Linked DNA regions of Caenorhabditis elegans. The protein of the gene in region 2 interacts with the protein of the main gene of each other region in a pairwise test. Each region holds a gene or a part of one and is shown on either strand. Other genes may lie near its edges.

Region 1 (4,913 bases), on a different chromosome or scaffold from region 2:
AAAGGTTACGCGATAACTAATATTTAGTGAGTAAGTAAAATAGTTTAGAAACAAAATATTGGGTGGTTTACTCTAACCTCCCGAATGCCATCTAAATATTTACATACTGATAAAGTTCAAATAGCACACAGGTTTTTTGTGTACACTTTTTCACTTACTCGAAACATAAGATGTTCGCTATTTATTTAAGATTTTAAGAAGAAGATTACTTCTTAACTTATTACTAATAGTAAGCATTCTTCTAGAAAACTAAAATTTTATTTTTCCTCCAGCTTTAAAGTATTCGAATACTTGACCTCAATCTGTCTCTCATGTTCCTCCATCTGTTCAAATACGTGACAAAAAACTGATAAGAAGGAGAGCTTGCACTTGAAGTTTACACTTTTAATAATCTTTCAATTGTTACTACTGACGGCATTCCATTTAGTTAATCGGTTTATTGAATTTTGAGTGTGATTTGATAAAAAGAAAGTTAGTGAGAATTGAATCGCGTTCCTAGTGATAAAGTTTTTGGAAACTTTATAGTTTTCGTTGTTTTGTAGTTTTTTCTTTACAATCGAAATTTTATTGTATGGCACCAAAGTAAGCTAAAGGCACACAGGTCCATTCGGATGGGTCTCGCCACGAAAAAATGTTTTGATAGCCCATTTTTGTGGTGATCGCTGCAGAATTTTCAAAGATTTTTTCGTAGGTTTTCGGTAAAATTTTTTATAAAACTTAAATATTTATAAAAATTAGAAAAAACACATAAATTGTGCCAAATGTAAGAAAAACTATTTTGAAAAATCGATGAAAATTCGACGGAAACGAACATTTTGAATCTACAGTAGTCTCAAGGAGTACTGTAGATTTAAGGCGCAAACCTGCTTGTATTTAACATAAATTCAAGACCTGGTACTTTATTTTCGTCGTAAAAATTGCAAAATTTCGTACCTAGGTAATATTTTTATTTTTTATTTTTTTAAAACAAAATTTTCATGCAGTTCCGTTTTCAAAACGATAATAAAATCTTCGAAGTGTCTGAAATGTCGCTTTTTTGTTATCTTAAACCTTTTTTCCGTTTAAATTTAATGTTTCCTTGATAAGTTCCAATTTCCCAAACATCTGAGAATGCTTAGATATCTTCCCAAAATGTTTTCAAATTGACAAATGGCTGTATTGTTCAATGATTCATCTTGTCATTCTTTTCTCCTAAAGAAGAGGTCTCCATTCATCTTCTACCTGCCGTTATTGACCACCTACTGTCGTAGTTTTTATCGTTTCATTTAGTCACTCTAATTACTCTCATCTCTTTTCATTTTTCCCCCATTTCGATTGAAATTAGATTAGTTCCGATTGAAAGTGTTCGGATTTTAGGTTGATGAGGCTTCGATGACAATTTTACATTCCAATTTTAAAACTTCTATATTTTACGAACGAAATATTTCCAATTCCGGGACGCGTTGAGAGGTATGCGCCTTTAAGAAATACAGTAACCCGCTTGCAAGGAATTTTACACGTTATTTTTTTCTCGCTAAGATTTTTTTTTTGCCTTATTTTTCAGGTTTTCATGTAATTCTGCTTATTTTTGAAATAGAAAAACTAGAAAAAGCTTAAGAAAATTGCGAAAGGGGAGTGGGTTACTGTACATCTTAAAGGCGCACACCTTTTTGAGCGGCTTCGATTAATGGGAAACTATTTTCTTTCCCATCTGGGAACGTTTTTCTCAAATTTAATTGCTTGCCCAAGCGATTTTGAGGTTTTTTTTCAATTTTCAGACTAATCCAATGTTTTTTCTTTAAAAATAAACTTTTTGTCGATTAAAAACATGTTTTTAAATGTTTTTAAAGCCCGCGAAATTCAAAAAAGCTCTTGCATTCTTGCTCCATTGCATTTTCCCACGCCTCCCCCAGGCGTGGGAAAATACGTGGGAAAATGACAACTTTCCCACGCTTGTTATTTTCGATGAATTGTCCAATTATTCGTCGGTGCCATGTTCTTTCTCATTTCAAAAGAATTATTTGACTATTCAATCTTCGCGCGAGACAATGTGTTCGACTTTTATTCTTCCTCCAAGAGTGAGTTCACTTTTTTTTTGAAATTAAATATGTATTTTCTCTTTCCGATTGAATTGTTTCAACGATGATCCCGATTCTCCAACTTTCTCCATTTCTTTTATTACCTTCAGTTTTATAATAATATTATCATTTTTCAGAGAAACAACTGCAACAAAAGCAGTAGTACCATCGCCTACTCGAAGTCGCAACACGAGGCGCCGAAGCAAGTGAGTTGGAAGTTTTATTTTTCGTTTATATAAACGTGTCGAAACTGACCTATTTTTTGTCACGCCGTTCACGTGGCTTTCGTCACTAAATAGAATTTTGCGCTCCAAAAACAGAATTTTGCTCTTTTTTAATTAAAATAAATAATTTTTCATTAAATAGACGTAATTAATAAAAATTAATTTCAGCTGCTTCAACTCCGATCTGAAATCAAGCCGCTGATTCCGCTCAATCAACCTTCCAATTTTTGGGAATCCAGTCAAGATAGCGGAGTTCTCTCCAGCTTGTCATCTTCTCCCCAACAACGTTCGGGCCTGAGAAGTCAAAAATTGCATTTGACGTATATAGAGAAGAACAAGAGAGTTCGTGCAATGATTCCACAACAACAGCATTATCATGCATTTGATCGCCCGACACACTACAATTCTCGAAAAACGTCTGGCCCACCACCACTGATGAGAACACCATCTTCCGGATTTTCGTCGGCTTCTTCGTCGGAGAACATGTTTTCTGGATTGACATTGTCAGACAATGAGAACAAAATCCACGAAATCATGGATCCATCAGTTGACGTGGATCTTGACATGTTTCTTTTGCCTGATTGTCGATACAAGCAACCAGTGCAACCATCAACCAGCACATCCCGTAACAATGTGAGCCAGATCAGCGGGTCGAGTCGTCTAAATGGATCCACGAGACATGTCGCACCAATTGTTCCAAAAGTTGCAATGCCGGTGAGTTTAAAATAAATTTTAAGTGATTTTAAAGAAATCAAATTATAATTTTCAAAATTCAATAAAAATTTACTTTTTTCAGTCGGAGTTATCATATGCCAACGTGAAGCGTTCAAGTGGATATGTGGATTATATGCCAACAACTTACAATTCCAACGTGACGTCCAATTCGTCTGCAGCATCGGTTCCAATGTCTCCGGGCACATGGGTTCGGTGTCACTATTGCTGGGAGTCGTATGTGAAACTGTGCCAACGAGTTGCAAATCTCGAACCACTCATCTCATGTGATGGCCCATGGAATTGGCATACACTTTATGATATGCAAGGACGAGTCACGTATGTTTTTATTTATTCTTTGAAATCTAAAAATTGATATTTTTATCGAAACACGACCTAAAATTTTCTTTTAAAAAATTGTGTTGGAATTCGTAATTTTTTCGATTTTTAAATATCTAAACTTCGAAAATCTAATAATTTTTTTAAAAAAATCTTCTCAAATTATTATTATTTCAGATGTCCCCGACTGTGGTTTGCTCAACTCGATCGTGCCGGTTCAGAAATGGTCGAACAAATGGGACACGCTCGAAATGTTCCAGTCTAAGCAATAAAATTGGTTTAAATATCAATTAATTTATATTTTACCACCCCCTTCAAATGTTCTTCTTGTTTTACACTATCATCCAAAAAAATGCGGTTCTCTTCTTGATTCTTTTGTTGACGAATACGGGCATTCCGTGTGAGCGTTTTTCTTTTTTATATTAATTCTTTCTGATCCTTATTAGCTCCTGCCACACACACCATTTTATGTTTAACTTACATATTACCACCATCCCTGTTTTTTGATCCCCTTCCCTTTTTTAATAAAACATAATCAACTGTGCGAATTATGTGAATTTCAAATCCCATCCAATCTTTCGCTGTATATCCATGTGCTCTTTTGTCTCTGGTGGGATCTTGCCCGATAAAATAAAGATGTCAAATATTTACTTTTCGCTATTCTTATTCATTTATTGGCAGGAATTTCAGAAATTAAATCTCAAATTGGGATGAGGCACACAGTTGAAGATTTTCGGAATTTTCCACACATTATTCATCGATCACTGGAAACATAATATCATGCGCGAATAGATTGAACATGCTTCAACAAACTTCTCGAAGGATCGATGCATAGGGGTGCTCCAAGAGGCTTCTCGTGTGTAATATTTGCCGTGATTACACTCATCCACATCTCGCGAACTCTCCGCCTTTCCCTCTTTTTCCTGTTTCTTCTCGAAAAATCTTTACTATTCGACACTTTTTGTGAACATTTATTTTTCTACTGAAACTTCTGAAAATGGCTGTAAAAAAGAATAAGAATGTGCCAAAACAGGAGGATCCATTGGTTCAGAAAGACGAAATTTCGTCGATTCATGCTAGAATTAAGGTGATTTTTTTTGTACTTATTTAATTTCTTAAAAATCAAATTACAGATTTTCGAGACACCGTTCGCCACTCAAGTTCTCAATCCAAAAGTGAGCGAATTCTGTGCAAACTGTCTTCGTGGTCCTGCTCCAGGAGAGAAGCTTCTTCGTTGTGGTGGATGTAATTTCTCAATGTATTGTAGTAAAGAGTGTCAGGCAACTGCCTGGTTAGTTCATAAACCAGAATGCAAAAGACTGAAAGCTGTGGGTTTCTAACTAAAAATTGGAATTAATATTAAATTTGAGAGCTTCCCAAATCTTCCACTCACTGAAGTTTTGTTCCTTTCAAAAGTTATCGATCGTATTCAGTTTTTGGAGAAAAATGGAGATAAATTGGGAATTGAGGCAGAGAGGAAATTCTCGAGTTTGGTTGACCATAAGGTTGATATCAGGTGAGAATAATTGAAAAACTGGTGAATAGGATCTTTCAAGAGTCAAAAATCAACGATTATGTCAAT
Region 2 (5,749 bases):
TTTTCGAACTATTCAAGCTAGATGCTCTTTCAAAATCCCTGTTGACACTTTAGTGGAATTTGTTTTCTTTTTTTGTTTTTAATATTTTAATACTTTATATGGAAAAATCAACATTTTACGGGTTCTCTCTCATCTTCTGTCTCCCATTTTCTTGTATTTACTGTTCCTAATACAAAATATAGTTGCGCATTTCAAATGTGATCAATCTGCAATGTGATAAAATAAAATGAATTCATTATGAGTCTCCTTTTTATTTAACAACTGAAAAAATAACAATTTAGATTATGGTGCTGAAAATAATCTCGAAATTCGTGATCCGGAAGCTGAAAAAAATAATATTTGGGTACGGTAGTTGGTGAAATACGCAAACACCGCCACGCGTATTTGCGGACTTTTCATTTTTCAAAAAAATTTTTTTTTAATTTTCTTTGTTTTTTTCTGCAAAAATCGTTATTTCTCTTTGATTTTTTGCGGGAAATTTGTGATTTTTAATGGTTTCACAGATGTTTTATCGAAATATCAACTAAACATAGTCTCGCGACCCTATAAATCATGGCCACCCCACCTTTTCTCAACGTTTCCTTTATTTTCGCCGCGAAATTCTCCGATTTTACTTCTCCCTCCCCGATGTATGGTCCATCTGGAACACGATCTTCGTCCGATCGTCGTCTCGGTTCCAATTTTTTCGCTTTGTTCACACTAATTTTAGAATTTTTCGAATTTTTCCCGGGAATTTTCACATGCCGGCGCGATTCTTGAATAGAAGATGAGTCAGAACATGACTTTTCTGAAAGAAATTGTGACGCCACGTGTTTATTTTCTCCTGTTTTTCCCATATTTTCCCAAAAATAAAAGCTCACTCTTTTTCTCCTCACTGATAAGGGTGTTCACTTCTCGGTGTTCAAGTAATAAGGCCAGTTGTTGGTCTTCATATGCTCTGAAATTTATTTCTCACGATTTTCAGTGTATAAATAATTTTATTTTCTACCTCGCAATTTCCACATCTGTAACCGTATCCAAAAATTTTTGATTTTCTCTCAGTTTTTCGTTTATTTCATGCCTTCGCTGCCTTAATTTTGTTAAGTCTCCTCCATGTGGAATAGATTCAGAAGTCGTTGTAGTTGGCGTCTGAAATTATTTTTGGAATTTATCGATCGAAATTTGAACAATTGAGATACAATATTCTCGCTGACAGTGCTTTCTCGTGTAGTAAAGCAATAATTTCTATAAACAAAAAAATTAACATACGTTATCATAAAGTAGCTCATTAATAGTGGCTGAAACATCTCCATCATATTTCCGTAGAACATATTCAATATGTGAATTGCTTAGACTGGGAAACATAGCTTGAAAGTCCAGCATTGCCTGAATATTTTGAAAATTTGTTGCCAAATTTGATTCTAGACGTACTCTATCAAAATCCAATAGTTCTTCTTCTACCACACCAGATCGGTCTTCATAGTCATCATAATCCGTCATTATTTCGTTAGAAAAAGCTGAAAAATAGTGTTGAAAATGAAATGAGTCAGCATTATGAAGAAGAACGCTCGTACAAATATTAAACATTTTGGGTGGGCGGTCAAAAAGAATGAGACAGTGTTGTGTGTGTACAATGGTGATTGTATTATCGGTCTGCGGTGAGAGAGTTATGAAAAAATACAGGGAAAATAGGCAGAATTTGGAGTGAAATTGCTAGTAAACTCGGAGTTTTTTTTTTGAAAAACTGCAAGTTAGAGTCTCTAAAGTTCGGAAAAAAGCTTTCTCTGACATCATAAATGATTTTTGCTCTTTTTTACTTCAACATAGTGATTTGGGAAACCATACAAAAGATAAATGGCTTCAAAACAGGAACAATATTATGCATTTTCTGACGAAGCTAATTAATTGACGAGGAGAAACTCATAGACTTTTTATTCATAAAAACAACTTTCGAATAGATTTTCTGCATTTTCTGTTTTTACATAGTTGGCCAGTTTTACTTTTACTGCGGGAAAAGTTCTATACGATTTTTTTTCCTTTATTTAGTGTATCCATTGAGCTAGAAAATACGAAAATTTGCCTTATGTCCCGAATATATCTGTAAAAAAAAACAGTGTTTAATTTTTCAATGATTTATTCAATTTCGCTGAAATATAAATACAAAATCGGCGGAAGGGAATTTGAATTTTTGCACTTTCTGGCAAAATTCATGGATTTTTATAATTTCACTTTTCATACATTTTTAAACAAAAAATGAAATAATAGTTAAATAATCGAATTTTGAACTGATTTTAAAGTTTCCGAAATTTTATTTCAGGTCGTCAAGTTTTCTTCACAAAAAAATCAAAAAAAAAATCATGGAGCCGTTTCTTTTATTTTTGCAAAATTGAAAAAAATCATTAAAAATTCAGAAAAAGAAATCTATAGTTTTTTTTAACAGTTAAATTTGGTAAATTGAGGGAATTTTCAAAAAAAGTTCCTTTGCAATATCAGAAATTTCTTTTCCGACGAAATATTTCACACTCTCAAATATTTTTATCCGTTGCCAGAACTTCTTCTTCATAAAACTAATAATTCTTTAATTTCAGAACCACGAAACATGATGCCAACGTGGATACCTAACAATTTGTGCGCACAGCCGACAACGAGAAATGCTAAACCACCATCGAACGGGCATCCACAAGCGACACAACAACAATCTGCTCCGGGATCATTGGCATACCGTAATTCGAGCAACATACCGAATGGAGCAACCAACCACGTCAGACAACAGAAATGGCAGTACACTCGTTCAGGACATAGAAAGGTACGAATGATAAGAAAATATGAAAAAAAAAGTTGGAGAAAAATAAACAAAAACAAGCATTTTTAGAAGCTGAAAAATATTAAAATGCTCTTTGGTCAGTTGGAAAATTTGAAATTTTTGCATTGAATTTCTACATTGAATTTAAATTAGAAAGTAAAAATACATTAAAAAATTAAGTCATTCAATTTAATTGCAAAATTCACAAAACGTTTTCAAAAAAGTGCACAATGTTCAAATAATCAGAACATAGCACGTAATCGGGTTGATTTGCCCATTGTGCTCCCATTATCGGGAAAATAAGTTGCGTATTGCATCAAAACCACTAACTTTGTACTTTTATTAGCCTATTAAGACTACCGTGACAGAGTACTGTGTGTGTGTGCTGGAAGAAAAGATTAGTGATGTGACGTTGATTGGTAGTTTTTGAATTGGAAAAGAGAGAAACGGAAGTGTGAAAGTTTGAATAGCTCAATGAAAATGGTTGATTTGAATGAAAAAATTCAAATTTTAAACCAGAAATTGTGCTTTGTGTTTTAAGCTTGAAGGTTTGATGATTTTTGCAGATTGACACTTCATTGACGTATTTAGTTTATACCGGAACACCTCTTAGAATCGTAGTTTTTCAACGAAATTTGAATTTCTGCTAGTAGAAAAAAACTGTTCACAACTTGAACATTTCGTATGTATCCCAAAATGCGATACCCGGTCTCGAAACGACACATTTTTTGGTAAATGCAAATAAGTGTGCGCCTTTAAAGAGTACTGTAATTTTAAACTTTGCTGTGTAATTTTCATCAAAATTTTTCGATAAAATTTTTTTTAACCTCAAATTAAAAAAAAGGTTTTTTTTTAATTATGAGAAAAACTATTTAAAAAATCGAAACTGGGTACCGTATTTTTTGGCGTAAAAATCCTAAAATTTCGCTACTGGGTAATAGTTGTATTTTCGAGGTTCCACTACAAATTACCGTAATCTGAGTGTCCCCCAAATTGAATATATTTGCATTCTTCTAAAGTTTCCAGTTAAGACATCTAAAATCTAATAGAATTAATTGAATTGGTCGTCTGATTGACATTCCAGCGTGCAAGCGGAGATTGGAGAGAAAAACAATGTTTTTTTTTCAAACCGAAAATCAGAACTTTTAAACGAACAAGGAAAAATCGAAAAGGAGTGTTCAAATACAAGAATCCATCTTCCGGAAGTTTTCTTCGTGCGTTTGGCCTAGATGACCCAGATTTTTCCTTTTTTCCGGACTTGAGCTACAGTTTACTGTACTTTGACACGTATTCCTTTGGGAACCCCGAGGATTTACACTAATAATTGATGTTGATCTATCTTCTACCCGCTTTCCATCAACAAACTATTATTTTGAAATCCCGTTGTGTACCCGGGTGAATGACTGACAGAGGTGTGAGGTACTTTGTGTATTATTTATGTTTCTCAAAATGAATGTAGATTGATTCATTGTAGTTTCACAGTATCGAAATTGAATTTTTCCGGAGTTAAAGTGTTCAGTAGTAGTTTTCAGAAACTAATTAGTTTTTTATCTAATAACTTCATACATCTGTTACAATTGTTGAATACCATTTTTTGTCATGATGAATCTATAGTTTCTTCTATATAGAATGAATGCGAACTCAACAGGAAATGAAAACAAAAATTCCGACTACCAATTTTTCCTTAAATTTGAGAATCTGATATTCAATTCTGAACCAGAAATCTGAAAATCTGGAATTTTACATCTGAAAAACCATGGAAATAAGTTGAAAAAGGCATTGAACATTATAAAACTCATATGTTCAATTGGCCAAATTCTCACTCGGAACGTTTCCAATATCCCGGAAGTTTTTGCAACTGAGACAAACTGAATTTCCCGACATTATTTCTCGAATTGAATCTTCTTTCAAAATTCTTACTCATTCGACAACACATATGTTTCAATTTTCCTCGGAATTGGGTGTGTTTTGTGTCGGATTTCCTCTCATTTTCGTTCGGTTTTTATTGTTGCGTGGAGAGCTGCATGGAAGAAAAAACCAATTTGATATGAAAGAAGAGCAACACTCATCATTCTTCTCCTCGGAATCGTAAAACCGTAATTGTACGCGTTGGTTTATTTGTCGATGAAGATGATGAGTAGGAGGAGATGAAGAAATTGAAGACGTTAGAAAGAAGAGAAAAGCGTAGAATTACACGCTTCGAAATTTGAGATTTAAGATGGAAATGCGGACGACAAGAAGAGCTCGTTCAAAAGATCGATTTTCATTAAAATTTTATATGGATTTCAAAAAAATTTCGGCAGGTTCTTTTCTACTTTGCGACTTTCAGAATTGAACTTGCTAGCTCCATATTCCGCATTAAATCTCATCGTAACATAAAAACGATTAATTTTCCAAACTCTAATAATTCATTTGTGAGAGATTTTTTTTTCTCTTTTCCATTTCATCGAAAATTCCGCGTTTTCTTAATCTCTGGATTTGTGATTTGGGCGAGAATCTCAGATTTTGCAAAAGAAAAAAGTGACGCGAGATTTTATTTACTCTCAAAAAATGATAGTTCGCAACTGCAAAAAGGAAAATAGAAAAGTATACTCCTTTTTTCTATGTCGAACTAAAAAGACATGCATCCTATATCCTTTAATTCGTTATTCGAACTTCATTAACGTGTTGTGCTCATCGGTGCAGATCCAGTCATTTGAATACTTTTTTCCCTTCCTCTTCGCCTCATTTAACTCAAAAAATGGAGAAACTCGTCTTTTCTTCTTTTTTTCCTTTTTCTCTACTCCAAAAAGGGCTTCTAAGTGTATTTGCACCACAACGTCTACATTAGTTGATGCTTCTCCTTGATGTCTCATCCGAAAATCGCCCCCTGTTTGCCCCCCGGAGATGGCTGAGAATAGAACACACGCATTGTTTGCCAAGGGAAGTCTACTGGCACTCACTCTGAAATCCTAACAAAACCAACCA

The links. Proteins that work in one complex are often made in the same cells at the same time.
Region 1: the proteins of mpk-1 (region 2) and lst-1 interact in a two-hybrid assay, tested with the Caenorhabditis elegans proteins (4 studies listed by BioGRID).

What each region holds. Positions count from the first base shown.
Region 1 is NC_003279.8:10,586,485-10,591,397, forward strand, and holds lst-1 (Lateral signaling target 1 protein), read left to right. Parts: upstream 1-2,016; 5' UTR 2,017-2,027; coding exon 2,028-2,057; intron 2,058-2,188; exon of another isoform or gene 2,189-2,194; coding exon 2,195-2,263; intron 2,264-2,449; coding exon 2,450-2,995; intron 2,996-3,077; coding exon 3,078-3,331; intron 3,332-3,508; coding exon 3,509-3,596; 3' UTR 3,597-3,980; downstream 3,981-4,913. Other genes in the region: Histone-lysine N-methyltransferase set-18, read left to right, coding at 4,329-4,418, 4,465-4,659, 4,702-4,847. UniProt on the Caenorhabditis elegans protein: Plays a role in germline stem cell maintenance, perhaps acting in concert with mRNA-binding factor fbf-2.
Region 2 is NC_003281.10:4,224,927-4,230,675, reverse strand, and holds the start of mpk-1 (Mitogen-activated protein kinase mpk-1), read left to right. Parts: upstream 1-2,581; coding exon 2,582-2,785; intron 2,786-5,749. Other genes in the region: Nuclear hormone receptor family member nhr-20, read left to right, coding at 1-53; F43C1.5 (uncharacterized protein), read right to left, coding at 283-323, 566-787, 861-937, 989-1,128, 1,249-1,365, 1,411-1,479. UniProt on the Caenorhabditis elegans protein: Functions in let-60 Ras signaling pathway; acts downstream of lin-45 raf kinase, but before the lin-1 gene product in controlling vulval cell differentiation. Plays a negative role in proximal germline proliferation in the mitotic zone.